Callithrix jacchus: one gene and its partners. The protein of the gene in region 1 interacts with the protein of each later gene in a pairwise test. Links are inferred from orthologs where the notes say so. Each region holds a gene or a part of one and is shown in the gene's direction. Other genes may lie near its edges. The genes, in order: HMG20A, SCNM1, RPP30, HPCAL1, CCDC136, DTNB and BRAP.

Region 1 (4,101 bases):
AAGGAAAGAAGAAAAATTGGGACCTCAACTGGAAGTTGGATTGAGTTTTTTTTCTTTTCATTTAGTTTCGTGCTAAGAGAATTAATATACGTATATGCTGATTAGGCTGATCCTATGGAGAGAAAAGCATTGGTGTTGCCAGGAAGGACAGAATTGCTGAAAATCTGCCCTTTGGTTTGTAGGCAAGAGGGTGTGAGATCAAGGGTGCAAATAGAAGAGTTGTTGTCTTTAGCTAGGAACATGGATAGTTTATTCATGGTAACAAAAGATCTCCTTTTTTTTCCTAGTCTTCAACATGTCATCAAGAAGGCATGTGATGCTTTTGACCATTCCTGCCCACTTAAGTCAGGGATTCATGGGATTGCTACTCTTTCCCAAACCTAGTTCTCTTATTTTACTAAATAAGAATGTACAAGAATTAATAACTTAAAAACTGATGGCACAGTTGAAATGAGAATGACAGTGAAAGAACAAGTTGCTTAACACATCCAAAATGATTGAAATATTTAGAAAACAGCACTGCAGAGATCACACTGGATCTCGATGGTACCGCTTTTCAGAGAAAATGATCTGCATTGATTTCATAGCTTCTTTTACATACTCTTTTTTAGGACCTCAAAAATGTGGGAATCTCATGCTAAAATTATTTATGTTTCCTAGAAAGGGTCAGAAAAGTATAATTTCTTTCATTCCCAGGGCAGTCTGCTTCCTGTTTTCATTTATTTCTCAGTCCACTGTAATCTAGTATTTATTTTCCTAATTCCACTAAAACTATACTTCCTAAAATTGCCAGTGACCTTCATAGCAGATACTTTTTGGCCTATCTTATTTAACATCTGCAGCTTTTTACTTGATTAGCTACCTTCTCAAAAGTCTTCCTTCCTTGGCCTCTGCAATAGTCTTCTCTCCAGGTCTCTTAATGTCTTCTCAGTCTCTTCTCTTGGTTTTTCTACCTCACTCCTGTAACGATATAGCTTTAGCCGAGTTCTATCCTGACTTTTCTTTCTTCTCACTGCCTTTCTAGAGAGTATCTAGCACTGCCCATTATTTCCATCTTTGTACCCTTTTGTGCATTCTTTCAGAATAATGACTAAATATTACTCTATTACCCATCTTTTTACCACTCTTGCCTTCCCAACTCCTCCCCCAATCAAAAAACAAAAACAATAATACTAGCACATGTTACCTTTTCTTCTATTCCTTTGTCCACATGTAATAAGGTAAGTCCATCTAAGACCCTACCATCATCTGTACCTTCTTGTATTCACTCTTCAGAAGGGTGAGATCTGGTTTGCTAACTCATCTGGAACGTAGTGGGAGCAGGAAATCAGTACATCTCTCTGATTTATTAACATGTATACCTAAACCTACTGAACTTAATAACATTGTTCTTAGATGACCTGATTGTCAGTAAATGCTATAATCTAAGAAGAAATAGCCAATGAAATGTACCATTAAGAGATTTTTCTTACACCCTTTAAGAACTCTTTTGTGATAGTTGGCAAACTGCCTCTACAACCCCCATTCCTATTCACTTTTTTCGTTAATAGTGTTTTTCCTTTACCTTGGAGATACATGAAAGGTAGCATTTAAATCAGATTCTATTGCATGTTCAGAAGTAAAACATGAAGTCACACCACTGCACTGTTGAGGGGAGATCATCTTTTCGGAAAAAGATTGTAGTTGTTTTTGGTAGGAGATGTCTTCATGGAACTGACCTGGTTTAATCAAGCACTGCAACCAGTTTTTTAAAACACTCTGTAACTTCTGTGAAGACATTTTTTTCATTTATACAGACTATTGGGAGAATTAACTCAAGGACTGGCATGTTCTTTTGCTGGCAGGGAAATTTGTCTAGAACCTTGGTAAATAGGTTGAGTTTTTGTGTTGTTGATACTTTCGTCTATTCAGGTTAAATCACCCAGATGTTCCATACAGTAGTGGTGCCACATCATCCACCAACAATCCAGAATTTGTGGAGGATCTCTCCCAAGGTCAGTTGCTTCCGAGTGAGTCTTCAAATGCAGCAGAAGGCAATGAACAGAGGCATGAAGATGAGGTAAGCTGAAGTATCTCTTTCTGTTCTGCCTTCTGAAACTCCTGAAGAAACAGTCACAAGGAAGGTATGTTGATCAAGGTGCTCATCATCTGACCTTCCTACATTCTTAAGCTGATAACCTGTAAAATTTTCTGTTTTCTATTTCTTGTTTTATACAAAACAATATTAACGATTTTAGTGACACAGACAGGTAGCCTCTTTTTTCCCTGTTCCCTAAGAAATTTATACCAACTCATATTAGATGATCAACAAGTACTTGTTGAGTGAGTGAATTATTTAACCATTAGTAAGTAATTAACGAGAAGTGTACATGCCCTTGCTTAAGGCCACACTCTGCTTACCAAGTCCTGCTGCATGGAGTCCTCTGTGCCCAAAGTCCTCATACTACTTACCAAGTCCTTTACCCTCCCATGGTACCTTTCCCTACCCCACACAAAGGTATATGAGCCAGGGCAGTCATGTCCTGGTTGGACTTTCAGTGTTTCTTGCAAGTAACTGATTACATTGTCAATGTTTTAAAGCACTCTTTTATTTTTATTTTTTTTAGCCGAAAAGAATACCACTATTGATTTTTGTCTTGTTTCTTATTTTTAAAATGCTGGCTAGGCACGTGCTTTCTGCCTGTAATCCTAACACTTTAAGAGGCCAAAGCGGGCAGATCACCAGAGGTCAGGAGTTCAAGACAAGCCTGGCCAACATGGTGAAATCCCATCTCTACTAAAAAATACAAAAGTTAGCCAGGTATAGTGGCACACACCTGTAATTCCAGCTATTTGGGAGGCTGAGGCAGGAGAATCGATTGAACCTAGGAGGCGGAGGTTGCAGTGAGCCGAGATCACACCACTACACTCTAGCTACAAAGCAAGACTTCATCTCAAAAAAAAAAGCAGCTAATTTTTTCATCTATCCTGTTGGCATTTTAAAAGATTATAATGAATGCTTAAAGCTTCTTATATCTCTTAAAATCCAAATAACTTTTTTTTTTGAGGTAGAGTCTTACTCTGTTGCCCAGGCTAGAGTGCAGTGGCATGATTTCAGCTCACTTGCAACCTCCACCTCCCTGCTTCAAGCTTTTCTCTTGCCGCAGCTTCCCAAGTAGCTGGGATTATAGGTGCATGCCATCATGCCCAGGCAATTTTTATATTTTTTAATGGGGTGGGGTTTCCCCATGTTGGCCAGGCTGGTCTCAAACTCCTGACCTCAAGTGATACACCTGCCTTGGCCCTCCAAAGTGCTGGGATTACAGGTGTGAGCCACCCTGGCCAGTCCACAGTAGCTTCAGTGTAACTAGGATTTTTTTTGTTTTTTTTGTTTTTAAACTAATACCAAATGCATCATTTGCCCAATGGTGAATTATCATACGTTTTATATGTATTTGGAAGAGTAGATTACTACAATTAGTATTTAGATGTTTTTGTTCCTGTTTATTTCTTTATCTTTCTCTTGTCTAAAATAAGAATTCTTGTATCCATAAAACATTAACTGATAGGGCTGTATGTATTTGTAAAATTAGAAAGTAAAAATATGATGTGCCTTAAATCTTATTGAAAGGGCCCAAGAAAAAATGCTGTGGTGAGACATCAGTGTACTTCAGTCCTTTTTGTTTCTTTAGTTTTTTTTCAGAGATGATTCAGTCTTTTGATTTAATTGGTAACTCAACATACAAAGACCTCTAACTATAAAATGTACATCTAGGCCAGGCGCAGTGGCTCACGCCTATAATCCCAGCACTTTGGGAGGCTGAGGCAAGTGGATCACCTAAGGTTAGGAGTTCGAGACCAACCTGACCAACATGACAAAACCCAATGTCTACTAAAAATACAAAAATTAGCTGAATGTGGTGGTGCATGCCTGTAATCCCAGCTACTTGGAAGACTGAGGCAGGAGAATCACTTGAACCTGGGAGGCAGAGATTGCAGTGATTGTGCCATTGCACTCCAGCCTGGGTGACAAGTGAAACTCTATCTCAAAAAAAAATTAAAATAAAATATACGTCTAAAGGAACAGATTGTCAAGCCAAAGACTAGTAGTCTTCATTTGGA
Region 2 (4,873 bases), on another chromosome or scaffold:
ACATTTGTTTGTGTGAGATGGAACAAGAAAACAGGGGAGGGGTAGGGAAAGTAACCTCATCAACTTCAATGATGTACATTTTTACATCTATCAAATTTCCCCCATGCCAGATACACTTGGTGTAGAGAGTACCTGTTTTGCACCAAGGAAGCAGCCTTACTGGAAAGGAGGCAGAGGAGGAACCAAGAGCAAGGAGAGGTAGGCACTTCAGGAACTGAGAACTAAAAATCAGCTCTCCATTATTTGCTATGAATGTTTAATCACTCTCAGTGTAAAATTTTCTGTGTGGCCTGTAATCCCAGCACTTTGGGAGGCTGAGGCGGGTGGATCATGAAGTCAGGAGTTCAAGACCAGCCTGGCCAACATGGTGAAACCGTGACTCTACTAAAAATACAAAAATTAGCCAGGTGTGGCAGCAGGCACCTGTAATGTAATCCCAGCTTCTCGGGAGGCTGAGGCTGAGAATTATTGAACCTGGGAGGCAGAGATTGCAGTGAGCCAAGATCCGCCATTGCACTCCAGCCTGGACAACAGAGCGAAACTCCGCCTCAAAAAAAAAAAAGAAATGAAAAGAAAATGTTTCTGTGTGGTTAATAGCGTCAGATAGACCTGTTTGAATCCCAAATCTGACACTCATTATTTGACCTTAGTCAAACTGGTTAACCAATCCAAGTCTCAGTTTCTTCATCTGCCAAAAGGAAACAATAAATGTACTTGATAGGGTGTGAGGGTGACATGAGCTAATGTATGTGAAGCCCCCAGCACAGTGTCTGGCATAGTAAAATTGGAGCTGTTCCTCTCCATTGGAATAGTAGGACAGGACTTGTCCCAACCCGGCAGTGCAACACTGTGATGGGAAAACAAAGATAAAGGCAGAACAGGTGTAACACTTTAGGAACTTTTCAGAGGAGTTTACCTAGAAAGGCCACTACATTCTTCTCAGGACTAAATCCCTCCTGACTGTTGTCTGCACCCCAATCCTGGAAAACTCACCGTCACCCCATATTTGAGTGCTAGTCCAGCCAGGGTGTCTCCAGGCTCCAAGTGATGCTCCAGGCGTCTCTCCCTCACTGGGGAGCAGGCCGATTGCACGAGGCTTCCATATGAACGAGCCCGGCTCCCTTGAAGAAGTCCTGACCCCCCTGGGGGGGGCTGTCTAGACGGGGAAGCCATCTCTTCACCCTAACGACAGGTAGGGTTGCAACTGGGGAAGGCCCGGCCGAGACTAAGGGTGACAGGCCTTAAGTCTGGGAATGGATATTCAAGGGATTCCTTTCCCCTTCTCTCTTCCCCTGTGTCCCCGCCTCCCCGGCACTACGCCACCTGCCCCCTCCCGGTTTCTCCTCTCTCCAAGCTTGTTATCCACAAATCTGTCCCTTGAGTATTCAGTCCCTCCCTGAATCTCTCCCCTAAGCACCCCACCGACTGTGAACCCCCCACAACTCCTCGCTACATTGACCTCTGACCTTTGACCTCTAGAAATAATCCTCAACAGTCTTTCCTCAGTTTGCCCCCAAGTCCGGTAGCCTGGCCTCTGGGGGCTCTCGCATCCCGGGTCTGCCCGGTCCCGGGGTTCGTCCGCTAGGGTCAGAAACAAATCAGCCCACCCCAGGTGAACTGTCGCCGCAGATGAAGAGCGCGAAGATTGCGAGAGTCTGTAGTACACCTTCCACTCATCAGAGAGGTCACACCCTCACATTTCGGCTCCACATCTAGCTTCTTGTCCCTCCAAATGCCGCAGATCCGCCAGGATGCGAGGGCCTGGATCCAGCAGAGCGGCAAGCTCTTTGAGAAAAGACTTCATTTCCCAAAAGGCTCGGCGTCTGCAGTGTCGCAGGGCACCATAGGAAATGCAGTTCCCTCCGTGCACCAGCGAGTAGATTTCCGGACGCGCAAAGCCTGTGTGGAAGCGCATCCCCGGAAGTACGGAGGCCGACAGGAAGAGACTGAAAACAGAGAAAGAGTTGTCCCACTCTTGCTACGGTGGCCTGGAGGAGTTGAGAAACCGGAACAAGAGAATTTATCATTTCTGGGACTCACAGTCGTGATGTCTTTCAAGAGGGAAGGAGACGATTGGAGTCAACTCAATGTTCTCAAAGTAAGCGTGAGCAGAGAGGATCCAGGGCAGCTTCAGTCGCTCTCTGAAGGTTGGGAAGGAGCTTTGTTTTGTTGCACTGGCAACAGCTCGGGGGTGCGGGAGAGAAAGAGGCGACTTAGAGCTGGGTAGTGACACCTTTTTCGGTCTATGATCACTATTCTCCCCAGGGTCCTTATTCCATTTGACTCCTCATTTCTCTCATTTCACTTCCATCCGTTTCTCCTATCTGCTGATGCCGTCCGGATTTTTTCCCCTTCTCCCTGCAGAAAAGAAGAGTCGGGGATCTGCTAGCCAGTTACATCCCAGAGGATGAGGCGCTGATGCTTCGGGATGGACGGTAAGAGCGAGGAGTGGCCCAAGCCTGAGGGTTCTATGGTTAGAGGCTCAACAAACAAAAGATAGAGGTCTCTCTGTGTTGCCCAGGCTGTCCTCAAACTCTAGGGCTCAAGTGATCTTGCTTCCTCAGCGTCGCGAGTAGCTGGGATTACAGGCGGGCGCGACCATGCCCGGCTTCAACAAACTTTATTGATTGATTGATTGATTGATTGAGACGGAGTTTCGCTGTTGTTACCCAGACTGGAGTGCAATGGCACGAACTCGGCTCACCGCAACCTCCGCCTTCTGGGTTCAAGCAATTCTCCTGCCTCAGCCTCCCGAGTAGCTGGGACTACAGGCACGCACCATCATGCCCAGCTAATTTTTTTTTTCTTTTGAGACGGAGTTTCGCTCTTGTTACCCAGGCTGGAGTGCAATGGCGCAATCTCGGCTCACCGCAACCTCCGCCTCCTGGGTTCAGCCAATTCTCCTGCCTCAGCCTCCTGAGTAGCTGGGATTACAGGCACGTGCCACCATGCCCAGCTAATTTTTTTGTATTTTTAGTAGAGACGGGGTTTCACCATGTTGACCAGGATGGTCTCGAACTCTTGACCTCGTGATCCACCCGCCTCGGCCTCCCAAAGGGCTGGGATTATAAGCATGAGCCACGGCGCCCGGCCCCAAACTTTTGTTATTAATCAGGACAGCAGGAGTATCTAGGATTCCTTGGCCGGAAGTGAGGATCGGAAGAAGTGGGGATTGGATGACCTGGAGTTGGGCTTTGGAAAGGACTGCTAGGACAGGGTGGGACTTACTGTAGGGACTGGCCCCACCCTCTTCCCCTGGACCAATTATCCTCTTCTCTCCCCCTGCTCAGTTTTGCTTGTGCCATCTGCCCCCATCGACCAGTACTGGACACCCTGGCTATGCTGACTGCCCACCGAGCAGGCAAGAAACATCTATCCAGTAAGTTTGGGGAAAGACAGGGTATGGGGAATAAACCCTCGAAATTTCTGCACACCGCTCTTGGTGCTATGCTTTTAGTCTTGTTTCCCTTTCTCCTCAGGCTTGCAGCTTTTCTATGGCAAGAAGCAGCCAGGAAAGGAGAGGAAGCAGAATCCAAGACATCAGAATGAATTGAGAAGGGAAGAAACCAAAGCTGAGGTAATCAGAATGGAGAGTGTATTCTAGTCAAGACCCTGCTGCACACACCAGGCTGGAAGGGAAGAGGGCTGAAGCCTCTGACTCTGTCTCCCATCTCCTTATCAGGCTCCTCTGCTAACCCAGACACGACTTATCACCCAGAGTGCTCTGCACAGAGCCCCCGACTATAACAGTTGCTGCCGCCGGAAGTACAGGTATGGGAGGGGAAAGCCAGAGGTCGGAAGGCTCAGAAGGAGAAAGATGGCTCTAAAAGTTCTCCAATGTGAGGCCAGGCGCGTGGCTCAAGCCTGTAATCCCAGCACTTTGGGAGGCCGAGGCGGGTGGATCATGAGGTCAAGAGATCGAGACCATCATGGTCAACATGGTGAAACCCGGTCTCTACTAAAAATACAAAAAGTTAGCTGGGCATGGTGGCGTGTGCCTGTAATCCCAGCTACTCAGGAGGCTGAGGCAGGAGAATTGCCTGAACCCAGGAGGCGGAGGTTGCGGTGAGCCGAGATCGCGCCATTGCACTCCAGCCTGGGTAACAAGAGCTAAACTCCGTCTCAAAAAAAAAAGTTCTCCAATGTGTATTCTAAGGAACACTGGTATTCCGGAGATGTTACTTAGTGTTTCAAGAAAAGGAGAATTTTGGCCAGGCACAGTGGCTCATGCCTGTTATCCCAGCACTTTGGGAGGCCGAGGCAGGTGGATCACTTGAGGTCAGGAGTTCAAGACCAGACTGGCCAACATGGTGAAACCCCATCTCTACCAAAAATATAAAAAATTAGCTGGGTGTGTGACGTGTGCCTGTAATCCCCAGCTACTCGGGAGGCTGAGACAGGAGAATCGCTTGAACCTGGGAGGCAGAGGTTGCAGTGAGCCGAGATCATGCCACTTCACTCCAGCCTGGGTGACAGAGTGAGACTCCGTCTTAAAAAAAAAAATGGTGGGGGCTGGGTGTGGTGGCTCTTGCCTGTAATCCCAGCACTTTGGGAGGCTGAGGCGGGTAGATCACAAGGTCAGGAGATCGAGACCATCCTGGCTAACATGATGAAACCCTGTCTCTACTAAAAATACAGAAAATTAGCCAGGCATGGTGGTGGGCACCTGTAGTCCCAACTACTCAGGAGGGTGAGACAGGAGAATTGCCTGAACCTGTCGGGAGGGTGAGAGAGGAGAATTGCTTGAACCCAGGAGTTGGAGGTTGCAGTGAGCTGAGATCATGCCACTGCACTCCAGCCTGCGTGACAGAGTAACACTCGAAAGAAAAAAAAGAGAGAGAGAGAGAGAGAGAGAGGAGAAGAGAAGAGAGAA
Region 3 (4,101 bases), on another chromosome or scaffold:
TAGGGTAAAATAATCACGTGAGTTACAAGTGAGGGGGCCTCCCCATTATGTCACTTGGGCAGAGAGGTGAACCTTGCCCAGTAGGGGGCCATGCCACGTGCAGTAGTAGAGGGTCGTGTACAGAAAAGGGGTCCACCCCCATTAGGTCACCGAGGCAAGGAGGTGGGCTGTGTGCAACAGGTGTTCTGTGCAACACTTCTTACCTGGGGGCTAGAGACTTCAAAGGGTTTCTAATAGAAAGATACTGTGAGCCAATGCAGTGGGAGCTGACAGACTTGTGCTATTCTCTTAAGATATTTATGGGAGGATGGTTTAAGCTAGCACAGAAGTGAGAAAAGAATGACAGGGTATACAGGCGCTGTCACTGGTCACACCAGAGGGGTGCTTCTACCTCGGTTATTTTCGGGATCTCAGGCCTGAGGCCTACTTTCCACAGAAACTGGATGTAAGGTGCTACAACTCCTTTATCAGGAGGAGAGAATCTTGCTCCAAGTCTGCCATACAGTGTATGCCCTTTCAGGCAGGGTCTTTGCTTCTTGTCCTGGTCTGGCTGTTTTCCCATGTACTGCTTCTGTTCTGTGACTGCTCTAGGCATTCCTCCTACTACAAACTACTTTATGGTTATATAGAAGGATTATATAAATCAGCACCAAATGTGTCAGTACAGCTCCAACTACATCTGTTATATGATTATATAGAAAGAATATATGGAACTAAGTATGATTATATATGTAAGCTAGATATAGTAAGCAGTGAGGCACTTATACTTCAGGCACTAATTGTGCCTGAGGTCTGCACAGTTCTCCTTCCTCGGTGCCATGGGGAGTGTTACCCACAAGGATAATAAAGCAAGCCTTGACCTCAAAGAGTTCCCAGTCTGTCGATGGTGTGCACTCAAAATGGGAAGTGGGCAGTGGTGTGAGGGAGTCATCACTCCATTTCTCCTTAGGAAAGGAGTCTCACAGAAGTAGAAGGGTAAAAAGCAAAAGAAATGAACAAGAATAAAAGTGACAGTGGTAAAGTAAGAACTTGATGCGATGAAAATGAATACAGGGATATGAAAGAGAATGATAGTTGAAAAGAAGCACAAAGTTAAGAGTCTTTAATATCATGTTAATAATAATTTATAATGGTTAAACAAAGACCTATGTGCCAGACACTGTTCTCAAACACCTTGAGTGCATTATTTCATTTAAATCTCATGACAAGTGTAGGAAGTAAGTGTTGTTATTATTACCATTTGACAGTTGAAGAACCTGAAACTTCATGTTAAGTAACTTGTAAGTGGTATTGCCAAGACTTTAAATCAGGCAGGCTGATGCTAGAGTTTACATGCATAACCATTGCTCAAATGGCCTCCTGCTCTTGACATCTGGAGTCAGGATGGACCTGTGTTTACAGGAAGGAGAGGTTGTTATCTTTAACAAAAGTGTTCAATTTTTCTTTTCAGTTGGCTATTCAGTTGTTGCTGTCAATCATGTCGTTGACTTTAAGGAAAAGAAACAGGTAAAATAATATTTCTGAAGTTAAGTTCATAAATATTTGTAATCTGTTTATATTGGCAATCTGGGAGCTACAGATTAGAATATTTCTTAAATGCACTCCTTAATATACTATTACTTTCCTATTTTATATGTTAACATTAGCTGATGCATATTTATACAAACAAGATATTTGTGAGGTACTATGAAATAGTGTTCAGGATTCTTAAAGTTGATTTGAAATTAAGTTACTTTCACTGTTTAAAAAGTGCATTGTTGGCTGGACTGTAATAAAGATATTTAGTCTTTTTAATTTTATTGTCATGGACTTATTAACTAGTTTTTCTCTTAAACATTACTAGTAAGTATGTATTTCTCTTTAGGCCAACAACTATCCTATAGATTATTTCAGCCTAAAAATTAGTTTTCATTCTTCCTATTCACTGATGTTTGCAGTTGCTTCTCTATTTAACTTTCTCTTTAAAAATATTTTTTAAAAGTCTTTTTGAAAACCAGAAATCACCTAGCTTTTTTAAAAAAATGCATTTTTTTTCTGAGATTCCCCTTGTAATTTTTCCATTATGCCTGTGCTATTGATGTATACAATCTGTGGCAACTGTTTATTGTTTGCTTTAGGAAATTGAAAAACCAGTAGCTGTTTCTGAACTCTTCACAACTTTGCCAATTGTACAGGTAGGTGTTTTGCTGTTTAAGAAGCATAATATTTATTATTCAGTTAAAAGATACCTAATTATGTGTGCTATTCTCTAACTGGAGTTGTACCTTACTCTGCCTACCAGTCTTACATTTTCCTCAAGGCTCAGCTCTTCAGGAAACATTCTTTTACCATTAACTCAGTACTACTTTGATGATCTTCTTTCCTGAAGTCCTACGACTTTTAAATTATCTTATTATGTAGTTTAAGATACGTACATCTCTTTCTGTGGCTGTATTGTAAATTTCTAGAGAACAAGGACTGGGTTTTATTTATCTTCACTATCCCTTATAGCCAGTACCTTTTAATGAATACTTTCTATGGGTAAAAATGAAAATCAGTTATCTTTTGTGCTTCTTTGACAGCATGTTTTTTTTAAATAGGGAAAATCAAGACCAATTAAAATTTTAACTAGATTAACAATTATTGTCTCGGATCCATCTCACTGCAATGTTTTGGTAAGTTAATTATTTTTCCTCTCTCCTTTTAGCTTTGTAAGTTGTACTGATTAATGTTGAACAATGTTGCATTTTTTCTTATCCCATTTTTACATTTTCCCTCACCCCCCCTAAAGCATGACACCTGCCTACTCTCCTTGTCCTCAGAATTCACACAGTGTAACATGTCTATTCGCCTTACTCATGGCACATGTGTAATGATAGCACAATTAAAGAATCCCTTGGCAACTGTTATTCATTAAGCTCACATGCCCCAGACTTAAGGTAGGTGCTAGGGGTTATTGCCGTGAATAATATGAGCTCAATCCTTGAACTTATAAAGCTTAAAGTTTAAATGGCAAGATAAGCACGGAACAAATAATAATTACAAATGGTGCTCTGGGAGTATGTAACCTGAGTAAGTTGATACTGAACCTGGGAGACGGAAGAATCAGTAAATATTATATAGGTGACAAGCAGGGAGCAAGTGTTGCCAGATAGAATGGATTATGCATATTGAAGCCAAGGTATTTTCTGGGAATGAAACAAAACCAATAGGGCTAAGTTTAGCGAGCCAGTTACAATGGGATGAGGTTAGGGACATAAGCCTGGGTGAGGATTCCAATAGCAGTTGGAAGCCCCTGAATGTTTTAACAAAGGGAGTAAAATTATGAGGTGTGAATTACAGAGTATGGATTAGAAGGAGTTAAGGAGAAGACTTAGGAGGCTCTAGGAGGGAGAACTGATGGGATTTGTTGGTTAATTGGATGATGATTACTCCTTAGGTGGCCTGAGCAGCCAGGTAGGTAGATAATGGTATCATTTCCTGAGATGGGCCATACAAACAAGCAGGTTTGGGGGAATCATGATGAGTTACCATGAGAGTTTCAAAATAGGCCGTTAAAAAAGATGCGCATGGTGGCTCATGCCCGTAAACCCAACATTTTGGGAGGCCTAGACAAGTAGTCACTTGAGGTTAGGAGTTCAAGACTGGCCTGATGAATGTGGTAATACCACATCTCTACTAAAAATTCAAAAATTAGCAGGGTGTGGTGGTGGTGGGCACCTGTAATCTCAGCTAACTCGGGAGTCTGAGGCAGGAGAATCGCTTGAGCTGGAGAGGCAGAGGTTGCAGTGAGATCACACCACTGCACTCCAGCCTGGGCAACAGAGCCAGACTTCATTTCAAACAAACAAACAAACAGATGTGGCCTTCAGAAGAGTGATCCCAATTAAAGATGTTTCTTTGGAAGTGGTCACCTGCAGTGAATAATTGAAATCATGGGAATGGATGAGACTCCCTGGCCAAAGTGCCTTGTGGAAAGAAGAGGTTTAGTACAGAGTGCTAAGAAACTTAACTATGTAGTGGTGGGAAAGAGGATGAGCTAGAATTGGAGACTGAGGAGGGACTACCCTAGAAGTAGAAGGACAGCAAGTAAAGGGAAAACAGAAAAGGAGGAATGAAAGG
Region 4 (4,101 bases), on another chromosome or scaffold:
GTGAGCTAGGATTGCACAGCTACACTCCAGCCTGAGTGACAGAGTGAGACCCTGCCTCCAAAATAACCAAAAACAAAACAAGAAAGAAATGGAACTCTTCAGAAGCAGTGGTCCCATGGTAGGGAACCTCAGGGGTAGGCCTCCAGCAGCGGGTATCAGATCCAAGAACTCCTGCTCCAGCCGCAGCCCGCCTCGGAGCGAGGGGCCCGTTTCCCACACAGATGGTTTTCACACTGCAAGAGGAAATTAACACGGGTTCGGGGAACTCTGCTTCAGTCACCACTTTCTGGCTCTTAGCTTCACACAGTGGCGGAAGTAAGAAATCTGTTTCCCGGGAACCGCCCACCCTGCCCTGTGCTAACCCTCACCCTCTGGAGATCAGCATGCCTGCCCCTGGCTGAGCAGAGGCGTGGCCAGAACCTGGAGGCTCTGGCAGAACTGTTCGGAGCAGCAAGGAGCAGCCACTTCTGTCTGAACAGAATCTCGCTTTTCAACTCCCAAACCAAGTCTTCAAACCCTGAAAGCCTTCCCCCAGTGCCATGGATGGCTCCCTGGCTGGCTGCCTGGTGTTTCTCAGGGGACACTTGGTGCTACCTCTTCTCAAAATGAGAAAATGGTCTGTTGTCTTGGAAATGACACTTCTACACGGAGTGCTCAGAAAATTCCACAGCAGTGCCGCCCCTCCCCATGCATGTCACTGCTCAGCGGCCACTCACCAGCCCCATCACCATCTCCCCTGTACACTGACCAGCAGCGCAGGGGCATGTGCCCTAGGCTGGGCCACTCAGGCAGAGATGCACAGAGAGACCAGCAGCTAGGCTGAGCCCTCGGCTGACAGTGTCCCAAAGAGGGTGTGGAGACCCAGGGCCACGGGTTCCGGTCCTGTCAGGGGCTGGTGATGGGGCTCTCCCTGTGAGTTTCAGGGGCAGTCTCTTTTAAACTGCGGGGTAACAGCCACACAGTAAAATGCACATGGCGGGCAGCATGTCGAATTTCACGCAACTCTGCCCACGTGACCACCACCCTCTCTCAGCATTCCCAGCCCCCAAGAGGGGCACTCAGGCACCTTCCTGGCACTACCCCCCCAGGCAGAAATACCACCACCCTCACCACCTCCCAGTAGAGCCATCCTGCCAGCTCTGCTCTTGAACTTCACTTAGACGCCAGTGAAGTTCACTGGGGAACATTCTCCCCACTGGGGAAGGGTCCTGAAGGCCACCAGGAGCCCACGACCTCTCCAAGCCTTGTCATGGGCTGGGCAGAAGCCTACCCTTGCTGCACCTGCCCGAGCTTCCGGGCCTCTGAGCACACTGTCCTTGCCCCCGTCCGCAGGCCATCTACAAGATGGTGTCCTCGGTGATGAAGATGCCGGAGGACGAGTCCACCCCGGAGAAGCGCACGGACAAGATCTTCAGGCAGATGGACACCAACAACGATGGTAGGGCTGGTGTGGGGGCAGGGCTGCGTGTGTCCAAGAAACATGTTTGGGTCGCCCCCTCCCCTCTGCAGCTTCTTGGTCTCCTGGCCCACCTGCCTGGTGCTTGTCATGCCCAGGGAAAGGCGGGATACAGTTGGGGATACCCATGCTGTGCCCCAGCCCCTCTGTGCGGCTTTGTGATGCTGGGCATGTTGTGGCCCCTCTGAGCCACCATCTCCCTACTCGTAGAACAGGACATACCTATATTCCTGTGGGTATGTTTAGGGGCAGGGAGGCAGGCGTGCTGGCAGCCCTGAATCTGGAGGGCTTGGGATCAGAGGATCCCAGATGGTGGGGTCCTGGGGTGCTGGCCATGCCTCTCTGGCTGCCATCCTGAGAGAGGAGGCTGCCCAGATGGCCTCAGTGTCCAAGGGGAACTGTCAGGATGTACACTGCCACCTTGTCCGCCTACGGCAGCTCTGTGGGGACTCAGCCCCACTGCAGAAATGCAAGTCTCACAATGGTGGTGGCAGCAGTGGTGACGAGGCTGTGCCTCGAGTGCCCTCCTCTGCACTGGCTGTGAGATCTGGGGCGGCTGTGGCAGCTTCCAGTTCTGCTCTTCTTGCTGGCTTTGTCAAGGGCAGCCATAGCACCAGGCTTGCTTTGCTTTTGAACAATGAAGAAATGCAACCTTAAGAAGAGAAAATACTCCCTGGGTTGTGCTGGAGAATTTAAGATAAGCTAATGCCCAGGAAGCTGCTCTGGAAAGTGTGGAGTGCAGCCCTCGGTGAGGTTAGCACGGCCCCAGCGGGGGACGGGCTGTGGGGGAGCTGTAGGCAGCAAAGATCGTTCCAGGCAGCCAGGTCACCATGTTCAAAACACATGCACGCAGAAAGCAAGCCTGCCTGCTGTCTGGCGTGGCCTTCGGGCTGATGGGAAGTGTTTTCCACCCTCCAGCCTAGCAGGGCACCTGCTGCTGCTCTCCCGAAGCTGTTCGATCCTCGTGGGGAGGGCGAATCCAGTCCTACCGGGTTGTGAGGTTTCAGCGAGACGATGCCATAAAGCTCTCAGCAGGGTTTGCGCTCCACAAACAGCGGCTGTGTTTCCTGACTTCAGCGTCCCTGGGGAAGCCACCCATGGTCCTGCCAGAACCTGCCTCCCAGCTTGGCCCTGCCCACCTCTTCAGAGGGCATATTCGAAGTTGTTTGGGAATTGGGATGGCATGTGACGTTGCTAATGTGCCCGCTGGGATGGAGCACTTCCTCCTCTGAGCCTAGGGGACCTGTCTGTCCTTGGAGTTTGGGTTAAGGAGGGAAGAGTGATACCAGGAAGGTGGGCCGAAGCCAGGGGCCAGAGTTCAGGTTGTGGTCCTCAGCCCTCAAGGCTCCTCCAGGGACTGCTCGGGAGTGACGGTGCCCTGGAGGGTCCCCCAGCTTCCCTGGCCACCCCAGCAGGTGCACGGCTGCTCCGGGCCTCTGGGCTGGGCTGACAGGTTTCCCCAGGGCACAGGTATCATTAACACCACCCTCTCCTCAGGCTGTGCTGAGCAGTCCCCTCGCCTGCCTGCCCTCCGTCAGGAGGAGCCCCTGGAATCTTCAGCAGCTCCCTGGCATCTCAGCAGCCCTCCAGGTCAGCCTGGGGCAGCTCTGGCTCTCCCGACCCGTGGTCCATCTGGGCAGACCTGCTCTCTCTCAGCCTGGAACTAGGGGGCTGGGGTCAGGGACAGGAAGTGGGGCGGCTGGGGCTTGGCCCAGGGCTTTTGGGGCTGTGGACTCTGAGGCCCACAGCTGGCTGCCCTGTGCGGTCGGAGGTGGAGGGTGGGGAGTGGCCCACAAATGTCCTCATCAACCTTAAGGCCGGCAGCCTCCATTGGCAGAGGGTCCTGGGACTGCTTGCTGGGAACCTGGCTGTCCCTCCCTTTCCCTGCCCATCCCTTGGCCCAGGCATCGTGTGGGGTCCTTTGGGGTTAGTAGGCTGCCCAGGCCCCAGAGGCATCGAGTTTGTGCCCTGGAAGAAGCCAGCCTGCTGGAGCCCAGGCCAGAGTCCCATAAGGACATGTGTACCTGACTGCCAATGGGCCAAAGGGGCTGGATTCCCAGCAGGGTCCTACTGGGCAGGGACATCCTCCGCCCTGGTGTTGGGCTCAGTCCTCAATTGCATCCCCCCAGTCGCCTTCGAGATGGGCATTCTCATTATCCCACCTTCGAGACGAAGATCCTGAGGCCTGGAATCATTGGTGGCTTGCCATGTGCCAGAACCGAGAGCCTAGAGCCCCCACTGCGCGCCTTCCCCTGTGCTAGGCCTGTGTTGCCTGCACAGACATTTTGCAGGGTGCTCTAGCGATTCCAGCTGACACAGAGCCTCAAACAGACACAGAGGCCGCACCAGGGCTCAGGCTGCCAGGGCGGAGCCAACCTCGAACCTTGTGCTTCCCTACCAGCTGGAGCCAGAGGCGCCCCCTCCTGCCCTCGAGGCCATGTCCACCTGGGCAGACTCCTTACGGCGTCTCCTGCATGTAGACCAGCAGAGCCAGGGCTATGGTGACCACAGTGTGGGCACATTGACAGCAATGATGGGACAGGGAGTGGATGGTCAGAAAACTTCCCCCACCTAGCTCAGCCGGTCACCTTACAGAGACCCGCCCTGGACCATGAGCCTCCAGAGGCCACTCTGCCCAGTGTGGA
Region 5 (4,568 bases), on another chromosome or scaffold:
AAGCGTCTGAACCACAGCAACTCCATCTTGAATAGGAGCTGGGTAAAATGAGTCTGAGACCTACTGGGCTGCATTCCCAGACGTTTAAGGAGTTCTAAGGCACAGGATGAGGCAGGAGGTCAGCACAAGACGCAGGTCATAAAGACCTTGCTAATACAACAGCTTGCAGTAAGGAAGCCAGCCAAAGCCCACTAGAACCAATATGGCGATGAGAGTGACCTCTGGTCGTCCTCACTGCCATACTCCTACGCGCGCCACGACAGTTTACAAATGTCATGGCAACATCAGAAAGTTACCCTACATTGTCTAAAAGGGGGAGTCATGGACAATCCACTCCTTGTTTAGCATATCATCAAGACATAGCCATAAAAATGGGCAACCCACCATTCTTTATTATTTTACTTTCCTAATAAACTTGCTTTCACTTTATTCTATGGACTCGCCCTGAATTCTCGATTGCTCGAGATCCAGGAACCCTCTCTCTCTGTCGGGATCCGGACCCCTTTCTGGCAGCTGGGGGAACGCAGACAATCCTAGCCCTCGACCTGGGAATGGATGTGCAAGAGAGGGGATCCGCGTGTGTCCCCGGCTTAGGAATCTCCCAGACGTTTCCTGGATGTTCTGGGAAGCCCCTGTTCCCAACTGTACCCACTTTGATCCTTGCTGAGACCTGCCGGGGTGTGAGAACTGCCTCTTAGAGAGCCGGCACCCACCCAGCAGGCATTCCTTGAATAAAGCAATGGTTAAGACGCGAAATAAGCCGCCTGGGCTTCCAAATCTCACTTCCAGAGAATGACCATCAGTCGTGCCCACTTCGAGTGGGCGACAGTGGGGGCGTGGCTCGCAGCCCACCAGGTGTGGGACCGGAAGGGAAGGCAGAACGGAGGAGGGGGGGGTCTTCGGGCCCTGAGGCTTGGTGGGGCCATCGGAGGGCCCCTCCTAAGAGGGTCTCTGGCCCTGGCTGGGGGGAGGAGGGTGCGCGGAAAGCGGAGAGGTCAGGGCCCTGCGTTAGCCCATCTCTCCGGCCCCCAAGCTGCCAAGGGGCCCCCGGGCGGGGCTGGGAGGGACCTGAGGCCGGAGTCCGCGCCGGCTGCCAGGTGGGGGCGCCGGCCGGGTGGGGGAGGAAGGGGCGCACGTGTCCGCGCGTTTGGAGGAAACAGTCCCACCTTGCCCTTTGCCGTCCCCATTGCTGAGCATGACCGGGCCCTGACACCTGGTGCGGAAGGTCCCCGCGTACAGCAGACCCCGCGGGACCCGCCGCCAGAACCAGGAGATCTCACCCCTCCCTCTTGGGACAGCCTGAAGCCTGAGAGCTCCCGACGCTGTCCCGGCCCGGCGGCCCCCGGCGCTCCCTCGGGGAGAGCCTTGGGAGGTATCTGGGGTCGCGCTCACCCTCCCGCGCCGCCCCAGCACCCACTCGGAGCTCCTGGGTGCTGGGAGGGCTTCCGGGCGGCGGCGGGCAGCGGGGGGCGGTGTCAGGAGGCCCGGCCAGGCCCCGCCCCCTCGCCCGCCCTCCCTCCTCCCTGCGCACCCGGCTCCCGGTCCCCGGGCTCGCGGCTGCGGCTTCTGCTCTGGGAAGCTGCCGCGGCGGCGGGAGCGGTCATGGAGGCGGGCGCCGGAACCAGCGCGGGAGCCGCGGGCTGGAGCTGCCAGGGCCCAGGTCAGAGCCGCCCGTCCCTCACCTCTCCACCGCCCCTCCTTTCTTTCCTCCATCCCTCCTCCCTCCAGACCCCCAGGTGCTCCCGGACTCCGCGGCTCCCTCTTCTCCGCCCGAAGCCTTCCTCCCTCCATCCTGGCCTCCACCTGGGCCCGGTCTCCATCTTTCCGGCCTGGGGCTGGGGCTTCTGCGCACCGGCCGCATCCTGCCTGTAGGTCCCTCCCCAGCTCATCTCTCCACTCAAGCCCGACGGTGCTTCCAGTACTCGGGGCTCCAGACCCCGCACCCCCTGCAGCCCCGGAGGCTCCAGAGCGCTGGGCGAGGGTGGGGTGGGCGAGGTCCAGTAAGAGAATACGAGGGGAGGGGAGGGGAGGGGAGCGGCCGCAGCCCTATCCCTTCACGCACGCCCCCCACTCCTCCCTCCCTCCCTCCCTCTCTCCCTCTCTCCCTCTCTTTGTAGGCCGCCTCACCCTTTCAGCCTCTTTTCACTGGCTCCCGCCCTCTTTCAGTCTTTCCTCTCTCCTCCCTGTCCCCCGGGGCTAAATACACACACCCCCTCTTTCTGTCTGTGCAAGCAAGGGGGGCCTGGAACCAGGAGTGTCTGAGGCGGTTGGGCGGCAGGGCTGGGGTCCCCGCAGGCAGAGCGTGAGACGTAGCCGAGAGAGGGGAGACGTAGAGCCGGCAGAGTGAGTCAGGCACCTCCACTGGGATTCCAGATCCCAGGGCTCCGAGGGGCTGGAAGCCATGCCTCCCTCTTTCCTCTGCACCCCAGCCCTCAGCACCTCCTTTCGCCCTGCTCTCAGGACCCACAGTGACCACTCTAGGCTCCTATGAGGCTTCGGAGGGCTGTGAGAGGAAGAAGGGCCAACGCTGGGGGTCCCTGGAACGACGGGGGATGCAAGCTATGGAGGGTGAGTTTTCCCAAAAGGCTTCTTTCTTCCCCTTCCCCTCCTCCGTTAATCCCCTTCCCTCTCTTCCCTTTGACCCTCAGGCCTCTGAGCCAGGACACAGCCCTACCTTCAGTTCGTCTTAGCCCCTCCTCCTGCAACTCAGAGCTCCAGCCCTTCCCAGGGTTCAGACTTCGACAGAAGTTCAGAGTGCACCCCTTTGGGACCCCAATCACTCAGCTAACCAGGTTGTGTGTCCCGAGGGAGCTGCCAGACAGAGAGAGGCCTTGTTGGACAGAGCTTTGAAGCAGCTTTTCAGCAGGGGGTTTGTTCTCACTGCCTGCCGACCCAGATCCCAAGCTGTCTCTTCTTTCAAAAAGCAAGGAAGTGGGCATGTGAATTGTCTTTCTGGGGCCACCACCATTAACTTCGAATGGAAGCCTGTGGCTTTGGTTCTCTCGGATACCTTACTGCCTGAAAGAGAAAGCCTAGGAGGGGGCGAGTGAGGCCATCCTCCCAATACACGTGTGTCCCCACCACACCCATGTGACTTGGCAGTTGCTGCCAACACCAGGCCCCTGGAAGGACGCTGGTCCATTTTCCAGGACTTCCTGTGAAGTGTGGCACGTTGCACATTCAGTATAGGGAAACCTGCTCCCCCTAAGGGGGGCAGATGGCACGAGGGGTCCCACATGAACCTAAGGCTGCTGATATTAGAGAAAGTAAGACCAGAGATTCAGAATTTTAAAACAAAGCAAACAATCACCATTCAGACAACATTTTGCTATTTATAGGAACTGCATTGCAGTAAAGGAGGGGGTGCTCGCAACCAGAGGCTGGGGGCCAGCACCAAACCCCAGTTCTTTAATGCATTAGAATGGCAGCGTTTCTTTTATGCACAGGTACAGGCTAAGACTTCCCCTGAAAACTGCTTTGTGGTCAGCAGAGCAGGAGGGGCCTCCTCAGCTAGGGGAGAGGAGACCTGTGACAGCCAACAGGGAAAAACGAGGTGGACCTTCTAGAAAATTTGAAACAGGTATTTGATGATTTCAAAGGGCTCCAGAGTTTGTCCGATGAAACCTCTACAATCAGATATTTCCTTTCCCTACCTGCCGATGGGCAATGCTTTCTTATCATGGAAAGGCTGATTTTTCACAAGCCACCTGGATATTTTTTGGTTGGGTTTTTTTTGTTTGTTTGTTTTTTGAGACACAGTCTCACTCTGTTGCCCAGGCTGGAGTGCAGTGGCTTGATCTTGCCTCACTGCAACCTCCACCTCCACTTTCCAGGTTCAAGCAATTCTCCTGCCTCAGCCTCCCAAGTAACTGGCATTACAGGCACCCACCACCACGCCCAGCTAATTTTTTTTAGTAGAGACGTTTCACCATGTTGGCTAGGCTGGTTTGGAACTTCTGACCTCAAGTGATCCACCTGCCTCAGCCTCCCAAAGTGCTAGGATTACAGGCATGAGCCACAGCGCCCAGCCAGTTTTTTTGTTTTGTTTTGTTTTCTAGAAATCTCCAAACTGCAACTGTTACCTCATTTGACCTAAAGATCCGCTCACTGTCTCCTTTCTTGATTACTTGTTCCACTGCTCAGAGGGTAGCCTAGAAGCAGATAATCCTGTGCAAGTGTCTCATGGCTGAGCAGGCACCAGCCTGCCCACAGGCAGTGGTAGGAGGCTATCAAGTGAACATTGGTCCAGGAAAGGCCTGGGAGGTGGAGGGGCTGCCTCTCAACTTGACCCTCACACCTGATGACTCATCTTGAATACAGGTCTTGACTAGGGGCTCCTTGGGGAACACAAGGTGGCACCATATACCATCTCTGCCCTGGAATAGTGAGTTAGAGGGCTCTGGAGGGACTGTGGAAAGGAAGTTGGTGCCGACTCCCTCCTGGGATGGTTGTTTCTTCTAGGGGAGGTGTTACTCCCAGCTCTCTATGAGGAGGAAGAGGAAGAGGAGGAAGAAGAGGTGGAAGAAGAAGAAGAACAAGTGCAGAAAGGTGGCAGTGTTGGCTCCCTG
Region 6 (4,101 bases), on another chromosome or scaffold:
GCTAGGATTACAGGCACCTGCCACCATGTCCAGCTAATTTTTGTATTTTTAGTAGAGATGGAGTTTCACTGTGTTGCCCAGGCTGGTCTCAAACTCCTGATCTCAGGTGATCCACCTGCCTCAGCCTCCCAAAGTATTGGGATTACAGGTGTGAGCCGTGACACCCGACCAATCTCAACAATTTTAAATAGACACTTTTAACTTAATTTTGGTTTCTTGGTTATCTGCATGTTCATAGAGGCATTTTCCATATCTGTTCCTTCATTCAAATGTTAGGTGGCTTTATGGTTTTTAATGTTATTCACTGATTCTTCCCAGATTCCATCCAGATCTCAAACAATAGTATTCTTAGATTCTGAGATGGAAAACACTTAGGATAACCTTTCTTTAGCCTATTTGAGTAGGTACTTCTCATGCTTCACCATCAGTGCTGAGTGAGATGTATAGAGGCCCTTTGAATGACAGCTACATACCACATCATTCTGTCAGCCCTTTTGCGTAGCTCTCAACTCCTCCTGCCCCAGCCAGAAGTTCCATATTAGAAGTTAAATTGAGAAACTGTCAAATTACTTAACTACTTCATGCTGGCCTGCAAGCTGTCTGGAGATGAGACTGTCCCTTGGCTTTCTTCATCTTTTCCCGATATGTATTGCACAGCTTCTTTCCTGCTCTGCCTTCTACTCTATCTCCCTTTACTATTCCCCATTTACCAGTTTCTTATTTTAAAGATTATTCTTAATAAGAATGACCTCCAATTTACATATACTGGAATCAAGATTCTCTTAGTTGCTAGAAAGATGCAGAGGAAAAAGTCTGTCTAGTCTCGAGCCTTGTGAGACAGAAGCTCTCATTGGAAGGGTCCTGTGATGAGTCCCATGACAGCCCTGGGGGCCTCTGTCCTTCAGGCCAAGCACCCCAGTTTCTTCACTCCTCGCTTCCAGTTTGTGTTAAATATATATTTTTAGTGGTAAAAATTGGAGTTATTTTGTAATCAGCTGCCAATGTCTTTAGATCAGCTCTAACCAATTTTTTCTACCCTTTTTCCCCCCTGAAATAAATGATTTAAACGTTTTATGGGGAAATTCTTATATTTTTTTATTATCCTGTTCTTCACATTAAGAGGTGGGGCTGGGAACACAGTTACTTGGGAGAGAGCAAGGTGAAATTCTGGGTGTGCTTTTGGCTTTGCCCCAGCCACCAACCTGCTGCTGAGTGGTGGGACCAGGACTTAGAGGAGGCAGCGACGGCCATGCACCTGCTGAGTGTGTGCCCTGTTGTCTCGGCTCTTCTTTTGGAACACTTTGAAGTGAGGTCTTTGTGTCCAGGTTATAATCACGGAGCTCTCTTGCTGGGTTGTGTGACCCTGGCCTTTTAGCTTCTTTTTCCTTTCCCTTTGGAACAAAGGTGTCATGTGGGCTGGAGAAAATAAAAAGAATTCATTAATTTAAATTATTATTTTTGTTTTCTCTGTATCATATAACTCTATGTTACCTTTCTAAACTGTTTTCTAATTTGGTGTCTATGTGAGATATGTTATTTCAGTATTTCATATACAGTGGAAGCTTACCATATATTTGTTAAAAAGAGAAAGATAGAACAGAAAAATGCAGTCAAGCCATTGAGCTGGTATAACAGGAGCATTGTGATGGGTATTGGGATATGTAGGTTTCAATCTCATCCTTATTGTAACTGTCTCTGTGATTTTGTCAAACTATTTGAACTACTTGAAGCTTCTATTTTCTCTTCTATAAGTGAGAAAGCTGCTGAATGATGTCTAGGTGTTTGCCCTTCGATTTATTTTTTTTCAATAGTTACTTATCAAGTGTTCCTTGTGTGCCAGGCACTGTTAGGAAACCTGGAAATGTGGTAGACAAGCAGCCACAGTCCCTGCTCTTATTGATGTTGCTTTATACTCAGGTGTGGGGTGTCTTCTCTTCCCCACTGGATAGCAGAAATAGTAACTTGAAGGACAGTCTTGGCTTTGTGTCTGATTTGGGCCAGGCTACCAAAAAACCTTTAAATGATTCATTTTCTCATCTGTAAAGTGACGATAGTAATATCTAACCTAGGTTATCTTATACATTTGACTAAAATAAAATAACATATGCGGGAATACATTTGAATATACTAATAGTAGTATAAAGTACAGCATGTAGTGGTATCTGTAGTAATGTAAAATATTTTATTTTGCTATGAAATTTAGCATGTAATTCACTAAAGCTTGGATGGGAAAATCTTAAATTAACTTAATCTTGGAGTTCAGAGATTCTTAAAAAATATGGCCAGGTGTGGTGCTCATGCCTGTAATCCTAGCACTCTGGGAGGTTAAGGTGGGCTGGTCACCAGAGTTCGGGAGTTAGAGACCAGCCTGACCAACATAGAGAAACCCCATCTCTGCTAAAAATACAGAATTAGCTGGGCATGGTGGCACATGCCTTTAATCCCAGCTACTTGGGAGGCTGAGTCAGGAGAATCACTTGAACCAGGAGGCAGAGGTTGTGGTGAGCTGAGATCATGCCATTGCATTCCAGCCTGGGCAACAAGGGCAAAACTGTCTCAAAAAATAAATAAATAAAATAAAGTATATTTGTTTTTCTTCTCTTCACAGAGAAAGATAATGCTAAATATGTTTTTAGACACAATGATGGCTGACCCTCCTCCCCAGTGCCTTGTCTGGCTACCTCTCATGCACAGACTTGCCCATGTTGAGAATGGTAAGCAGAACTTTTATTGTTTAATTCTTCAGGCTATAGAAAGTATAGGAACTGATTATTTGCAATGTCTTTTGCTATTTAATATCATTGAAAATTACACTTGAAATTTGTTATCACTCTGTCATTTGATTTTGTGGTTTTGGCTTTCAGAAGAATATTTCTTTTAAAAAAGGGAGGACACTTACTATTTCTTCTTTTTTTTTTTTTTTTTTTTTTTTTTTTTTGTCCGGGACAGTCTCACTCTGTTGCGCAGACTGGGGTGCAGTGGCACAATCCTGGCTCAGTGCAACCTCCACCTCCCGGGTTCAAGCAATTCTCCTGCCTCAGCCTCCGGAGTAGCTGGGATTACAGGCACCAGCCACCATGCCTGGGTAATTTTTATCTTTTTAGTAGAGACAAGGTTTTGCCGTGCTGGCCAGGCTGGTCTCAAAGAGATGTGTATTAATTTAGAAAGGAAACCAAGAAGTAGCCTGGGCTTGATGGCTCACACCTGTAATCCCAGCACTTTGGGAGGCTGAGGTGGGTGGATCACTTGAGGTCAGGAGTTCTAGACCAGCCTGGCCAACATGATAAAACCCCATCTCTATTAAAAATACAAAAATTAGCCAGGTGTGGTTTTGGGCACCTGTTATCCCAGCTACTCGGTAGGCTGAGGCAGGAGAGCCACTTGAACCTGGGAGGTGGAGGCTGCAATGAGTCAGGATTGCGCCAGTGCACTCCAGCCTGGGCGACAGAGCGAAACTCTGTCTCAAAAAAAAAAAAAAGATACCAAGATGTAGTCATATCAGGTCATACAGTTTCAACTATATGCTTTTCCTCCCTAAGATTCCAGATGATTGTTTTCTGTTTGAGCCCACCTGATTTTTAGCCATGACTTCCTGTTTCATCTTTATCGAACTCATAGTTCTAGAAAACTGTACGTATGCAATATCAACTGTGAAAACTATAATTATTTTGGAATAATTTAAAGATATAGTTTAACAGTGGGTTTCCTTTTTTTTTTTTTTTTTTTTTTTGAGACGTAGTCTTGCTGTTGTTACTTGTGCTGGAGTGCAGTGGTGTGATCTCAGCTCACTGCAAACCTCTGCCTCACAGGTTCCAGCAATTCTCCTGCCTCAGCCTCCCGAGTAGCTGAGATTACAGGCACCTGCCACTCACTATGCCTGGCTAATTTTTGTATCTTTAGTAGAGATGGGTTTCACCATGTTGGCCAGGCTGGTCTCTAGCTCCAGACCTCAGATGATCCACCTGCTTTGGCCTCCCAAAGTGCTGGGATTACAGATGTGAGACACTGTGCCCATCCAGGTTCCTTTTTTTTTTTTCCTTTACCATTTTTGCCTTGAATCTGTTCTTGGTATTCCTCCCAGGAATTTGACATAAATTTTTG
Region 7 (4,101 bases), on another chromosome or scaffold:
CACTCATCTCAGCCTCCTGAAGGGCTGGGATTACAGGCAACAGCCTCAGTGCCTGGCTGATAAACTGGTTTTTTTTTGAGACGGAGTTTCGCTGTTGTCACCCAGACTAGAGTGCAATGGCACGATCTGGGCTCACTGCAACCTCCGCCTCCTGGGTTCAAGCAATTCTCCTGCCTCAGCTTCCCGAGTAGCTGGGACTACTGGCGCGCACCACCATACCCAGCTAATTTTTGTATTTTTAGTAGAGGCGGGGTTTCACCTTGTTGACCAGGATGGTCTTGATCTCTTGACCTCGTGATCCACCCGCCTCGGCCTCCCAAAGTGCTGGGATTATAGGCGTAAGCCACCGCGCCCGGCAAACTGTTGTTTTTTAGTAGACAGATAAGGTGGTATATCATAGATTGCTAGTTGTTTTTATAAGTTTATTTTTGTAGTATTTTTTTCTTCTCAAGATCAGATTTACATTTCAGAAAGAGATTGTTGTTGTTGTTTGTTTTGTTTTGTTTTTGAGAAGGGCTTCTGCTACATTGGCCAGGGTAGACTTGGCCTCAAGCTGTCCTCCCGCCTCGGCCTCCCAAAGTGCCGGGATTACAGATGTGAGCCACTGCGCTTGGCCTATTTTCTTATTCAGCTACTTTCACAGCCACCACACAGACCAAAGGGATGAGACAAAGCTAATTTCTACCTCTAGCAAGACTGCATGCTGCTTTCTGGCTATCATTTCTGTTCTTTGTTCAAGTTTGTCTTCTCTCTTCTCTTTTGATGCTACAGGAAGAAGCAGACTGGATCCTTTCACTTTCCCTTACACAGATAGAGCTGGGTCATCTGTGACACACACTTAGTGTTCTTCCTGCTTATTCCCTTTTATTGGTTTATTTACTCAGTTGGGTAACAAACTGTTACTAGTTATATCTTGAAAATTGTTTCTTCCTGGTGCCAGTTCAGTCAGCCTCAGCTATAACCCCCTTTCTGCCTACTTGCCCATATAACAGAAATACTCATGATTAGTATTTAGCATTATTTTGTGTGGAGTATAACAGAAAGCAGTAATGGACTTTTTTGACATTGTTTTTATTGTCTTTTTGTAAATTGAGACATGAATGCTCAATAGAGCACTGGTATCTTCTACATCATGTTCATGGTACAGTGAGATGTCATGTGCATTTCAATAAGGACATTAACACCTTTGCGTTTAGCCAGGCACAGTGGCTCATGCCTGTAATCCCAGCATTTTGGGAGGCCGAGGCGGACAGTTCACTTGAAGTCAGGAGTTCAAGACCAGCATGACCAATATGGTGAAACCTTGTGCCCACTAAAAGTACAAAAATTAGGTGGGGATTGTGGTGCATGCCTTTAGTCCGCTATTTGGGAGATTGAGCAGGAGAATTGTTTGAACCTGGTTGGCAGAGGCTGTAGTAAGCACTGCACTCTAGCCTGAGCAACAGAGCAAAACTCTATCTCAAAAAACAAGAAACCCTTTGCTTTTAATTTGGTAAAATTTCCTACAGATTTTAAATCCAACACTTGGAAGCAACCTGGAGAAGACAGGTTACTTTTTGTATGATTGAAATCTTTGGGAAATGGGGATAAGGTAGATTGTTTGGAGTAGAAATGGGTTATAGGTTGGGCGTGGTGGTTTACGCCTGTGATCCCAGTACTTTGGAAGGCTGAGCAGGTGGATCACCTGAGAGGTTGGGAATTCGAGACCAGTCTGACCAACATGGAGAAACTCTGTCTCTACTAAAACTACAAAATTAACCAGGCGTGGTGTCGCATGCCTGTAATCCCAGCTACTTTGGAGGCTGAGGCAGGAGAATCACTTGAACCTGGGAGGTGGAGATCATGGTTTGCTGAGATCGTACCACCTGGGCAACAAGAGCAAAACTCTGTCTCATAAAAAAGAAAAAAAAGACATTATGGTCAGACATGAAATGAAGTCCTGTTAGTCACCTGTAAATACTTAGCCTTTGATCATCCAAGCTTTAGACAGTAAAGCAGAAAAGGACATGAGGCAGATCCCAATTTCTCCATTCTTCTCTGTTTTATCTAGATTTTGAATATTTTTATTTTGTTTGAGAATAGTACAAAAATGTTAGTCATTTAAGTGATGTCCTTAGTTACAATAAACTTAAAAATAGCATATAAGAGGAGGAGGATATAAAGTCCAGTGTTTGACTTTTGGGTTCTGTAACAGCTGTCTTTTATATTTAACCTGCACCATTATCTTTTGGTGTCCTGGATAGGTGTCCTGTTTGCCGGTACTGTCAAACGCCCGAGCCAGTAGAAGAAAATAAGTGTTTTGAGTGTGGTGTTCAGGAAGTAAGTAATGGGTGATGGAAAAGAACAAAGAATGCAGCTTTAATTGTTGTGCGTTTTCTTCTACCTGGTATGACTTAAGTTCTTTTTAGTTTTTGTTTGTTTAAGAAACAGGGCTTACTCTGTTGCCCGGGCTGGTCCCAAACTCCTGGCCTTAAGCAGTCCTCCCACCTCAGCCACCCACAGTGCTGGGATTGCAGGTATGAGACACTGTGCCCAGCCTAAATTCTTTTCGAGACTGATTTTTCTTTTTGTCTAGGGTCAGGCAAGCCATATGAATACACAAATTACGTTACTCCTGAGCTTAATTTATTCCTTTTTCCTTTGCACTTTTGAAAGGTTTAGACTTTTACTGAAAATTTTTGAATTTTTTTCTTGCTATTCATATAGTGCTCTTTAGAAATCAGCAAGAAAATGACCCATAAAAGAATCCTTGATTGTTGGATTTTAAACATACATTTAGGTTGGGCATGGTGGCTCACTCTTATAATCCCAGCACTTTGGGAGGCCGAGGCATGTAAATGATGAGGTCAGGAGTTCGTTACCAGTCTGGCCAACATCGTGAAATGCCGTCTCTACTAAAAAATACAAAAATTAGTCAGGCATGGTGGTGTGCACCTGTAATCCCTCCTACTCAGGAGGCTGAGTCAGGATAATTGCTTGAACCCAGGAGGCAGATCACACTACTACACTCCAGCCTGGGCAACAGAGCAAGACTCCATCTCAAAACAAAGCATACATTTAATCAGACTCCTGTAGAAACAATTCTGTTTTTTTGTTTTGTTTTTGTTTGGTTTTTGCTTTTGTTGTTGTTTTTGTTTTTGTTTTTTTGAGACAGGGTGTCATTCTGTTACCCAGGCTGAAGTGCAGTGGCATGGTCATAGTTCACTGTAACCTCAAAAGGGGCTCAAGCCTTCCTCCCGTCTCTGCCTCCCAAGCAGCTGGGACCACAGATGCATGCCACCACGCCCTAGTTTTGTTTGTTTGTTTGTTTGTTTGTTTTTGGTAGAGTTAGGGTCTTGCTATATTGCCTAAGCTGGTCTTAAACTCCTAGGCTCAGACGATCCTCCTGCCTTGGCCTTTCAAAATGCTGAGATTATAGGTGTGAGTCACTGTGCCTGACCGATAAGTCTGTCTTCTGTGTTAAGCCCCTTCCCACTCTGAGCTGGATCATGTATTTTTATTTAACTAATTAAGATCTTACCTCTTCCGACAGAACCTTTGGATTTGTTTAATATGTGGCCACATAGGATGTGGACGGTATGTAAGTCGACATGCTTATAAGCACTTTGAGGAAACGCAGCACACATATGCCATGCAGCTTACCAACCATCGAGTCTGGGACTATGCTGGAGGTGAACACCACTCTCATTTTCTAATTTGGACTCATTCTCCGTGGAAACTTTGCCTTCGAAATCTCTTCACTTTTCCTCCCAGCTTGAAATGTCATCTTGCTGACAGCTGTTGCAAACCCAAATTCTCAGTTTCCCTGAGGGCACTATTTTCCTAGGAATGGCTTGAATCACACATTATAAAGGGAGTTAATACTTCCACTCTTGCTCTCTCCCTCCACTCTAAAATTCAAATGATTTGACAGTTTCAAAGAAATGTTGTAAGGCATTTAATTTAGATCTGAAAAAACAAAAATTTTATCAGAGTTAAAAGTGTACAGAGAGAGACCCTTTTCATTCTAAAGAAACACGCTTTCATTGACTCTTTCTTTAGATAACTATGTTCATCGACTCGTTGCAAGTAAAACAGATGGGAAAATAGTACAATATGAAT

What was found.
Region 2: the proteins of HMG20A (region 1) and SCNM1 interact in binary tests that used the Homo sapiens proteins (3 or more experiments, as listed by UniProt). The two-hybrid records come from large-scale screens. The link is inferred for Callithrix jacchus from reciprocal best matches to the Homo sapiens genes HMG20A and SCNM1.
Region 3: the proteins of HMG20A (region 1) and RPP30 interact in binary tests that used the Homo sapiens proteins (3 or more experiments, as listed by UniProt). The two-hybrid records come from large-scale screens. The link is inferred for Callithrix jacchus from reciprocal best matches to the Homo sapiens genes HMG20A and RPP30.
Region 4: the proteins of HMG20A (region 1) and HPCAL1 interact in binary tests that used the Homo sapiens proteins (3 or more experiments, as listed by UniProt). The two-hybrid records come from large-scale screens. The link is inferred for Callithrix jacchus from reciprocal best matches to the Homo sapiens genes HMG20A and HPCAL1.
Region 5: the proteins of HMG20A (region 1) and CCDC136 interact in binary tests that used the Homo sapiens proteins (3 or more experiments, as listed by UniProt). The two-hybrid records come from large-scale screens. The link is inferred for Callithrix jacchus from reciprocal best matches to the Homo sapiens genes HMG20A and CCDC136.
Region 6: the proteins of HMG20A (region 1) and DTNB interact in binary tests that used the Homo sapiens proteins (3 or more experiments, as listed by UniProt). The two-hybrid records come from large-scale screens. The link is inferred for Callithrix jacchus from reciprocal best matches to the Homo sapiens genes HMG20A and DTNB.
Region 7: the proteins of HMG20A (region 1) and BRAP interact in a two-hybrid assay, tested with the Homo sapiens proteins (2 studies listed by BioGRID and IntAct). The link is inferred for Callithrix jacchus from reciprocal best matches to the Homo sapiens genes HMG20A and BRAP.

The regions. Positions count from the first base shown.
Region 1 is NC_133509.1:23,525,905-23,530,005, reverse strand, and holds part of HMG20A (high mobility group protein 20A), read left to right. Parts: exon of another isoform or gene 1-960; intron 961-1,186; exon of another isoform or gene 1,187-1,303; intron 1,304-1,564; exon of another isoform or gene 1,565-1,911; coding exon 1,912-2,059; exon of another isoform or gene 2,060-2,100; intron 2,101-4,101. UniProt on the Homo sapiens protein: Plays a role in neuronal differentiation as chromatin-associated protein. Acts as inhibitor of HMG20B. Overcomes the repressive effects of the neuronal silencer REST and induces the activation of neuronal-specific genes.
Region 2 is NC_133519.1:11,058,258-11,063,130, forward strand, and holds the start of SCNM1 (sodium channel modifier 1), read left to right. Parts: upstream 1-1,985; 5' UTR 1,986-2,047; coding exon 2,048-2,098; intron 2,099-2,364; coding exon 2,365-2,435; intron 2,436-3,290; coding exon 3,291-3,379; intron 3,380-3,479; coding exon 3,480-3,577; intron 3,578-3,682; coding exon 3,683-3,771; intron 3,772-4,873. Other genes in the region: LYSMD1 (lysM and putative peptidoglycan-binding domain-containing protein 1), read right to left, coding at 994-1,173. UniProt on the Homo sapiens protein: As a component of the minor spliceosome, involved in the splicing of U12-type introns in pre-mRNAs. Plays a role in the regulation of primary cilia length and Hedgehog signaling.
Region 3 is NC_133513.1:83,643,098-83,647,198, forward strand, and holds part of RPP30 (ribonuclease P protein subunit p30), read left to right. Parts: intron 1-1,450; coding exon 1,451-1,506; intron 1,507-2,117; coding exon 2,118-2,174; intron 2,175-2,579; coding exon 2,580-2,654; intron 2,655-4,101. UniProt on the Homo sapiens protein: Component of ribonuclease P, a ribonucleoprotein complex that generates mature tRNA molecules by cleaving their 5'-ends. Also a component of the MRP ribonuclease complex, which cleaves pre-rRNA sequences.
Region 4 is NC_133515.1:104,572,371-104,576,471, reverse strand, and holds part of HPCAL1 (hippocalcin-like protein 1), read left to right. Parts: intron 1-1,332; coding exon 1,333-1,438; intron 1,439-2,953; coding exon 2,954-3,046; intron 3,047-4,101. UniProt on the Homo sapiens protein: May be involved in the calcium-dependent regulation of rhodopsin phosphorylation.
Region 5 is NC_133512.1:118,390,033-118,394,600, reverse strand, and holds the start of CCDC136 (coiled-coil domain-containing protein 136), read left to right. Parts: upstream 1-1,561; 5' UTR 1,562-1,602; coding exon 1,603-1,660; exon of another isoform or gene 1,661-1,803; coding exon of another isoform or gene 1,804-1,889; exon of another isoform or gene 1,890-2,012; intron 2,013-2,460; coding exon 2,461-2,568; intron 2,569-2,674; exon of another isoform or gene 2,675-2,820; intron 2,821-4,461; coding exon 4,462-4,568. UniProt on the Homo sapiens protein: May play a role in acrosome formation in spermatogenesis and in fertilization.
Region 6 is NC_133515.1:89,636,327-89,640,427, forward strand, and holds part of DTNB (dystrobrevin beta), read left to right. Parts: intron 1-2,608; coding exon 2,609-2,714; intron 2,715-4,101.
Region 7 is NC_133510.1:114,520,917-114,525,017, reverse strand, and holds part of BRAP (BRCA1-associated protein), read left to right. Parts: intron 1-2,243; coding exon 2,244-2,319; intron 2,320-3,532; coding exon 3,533-3,671; intron 3,672-4,041; coding exon 4,042-4,101. UniProt on the Homo sapiens protein: Negatively regulates MAP kinase activation by limiting the formation of Raf/MEK complexes probably by inactivation of the KSR1 scaffold protein.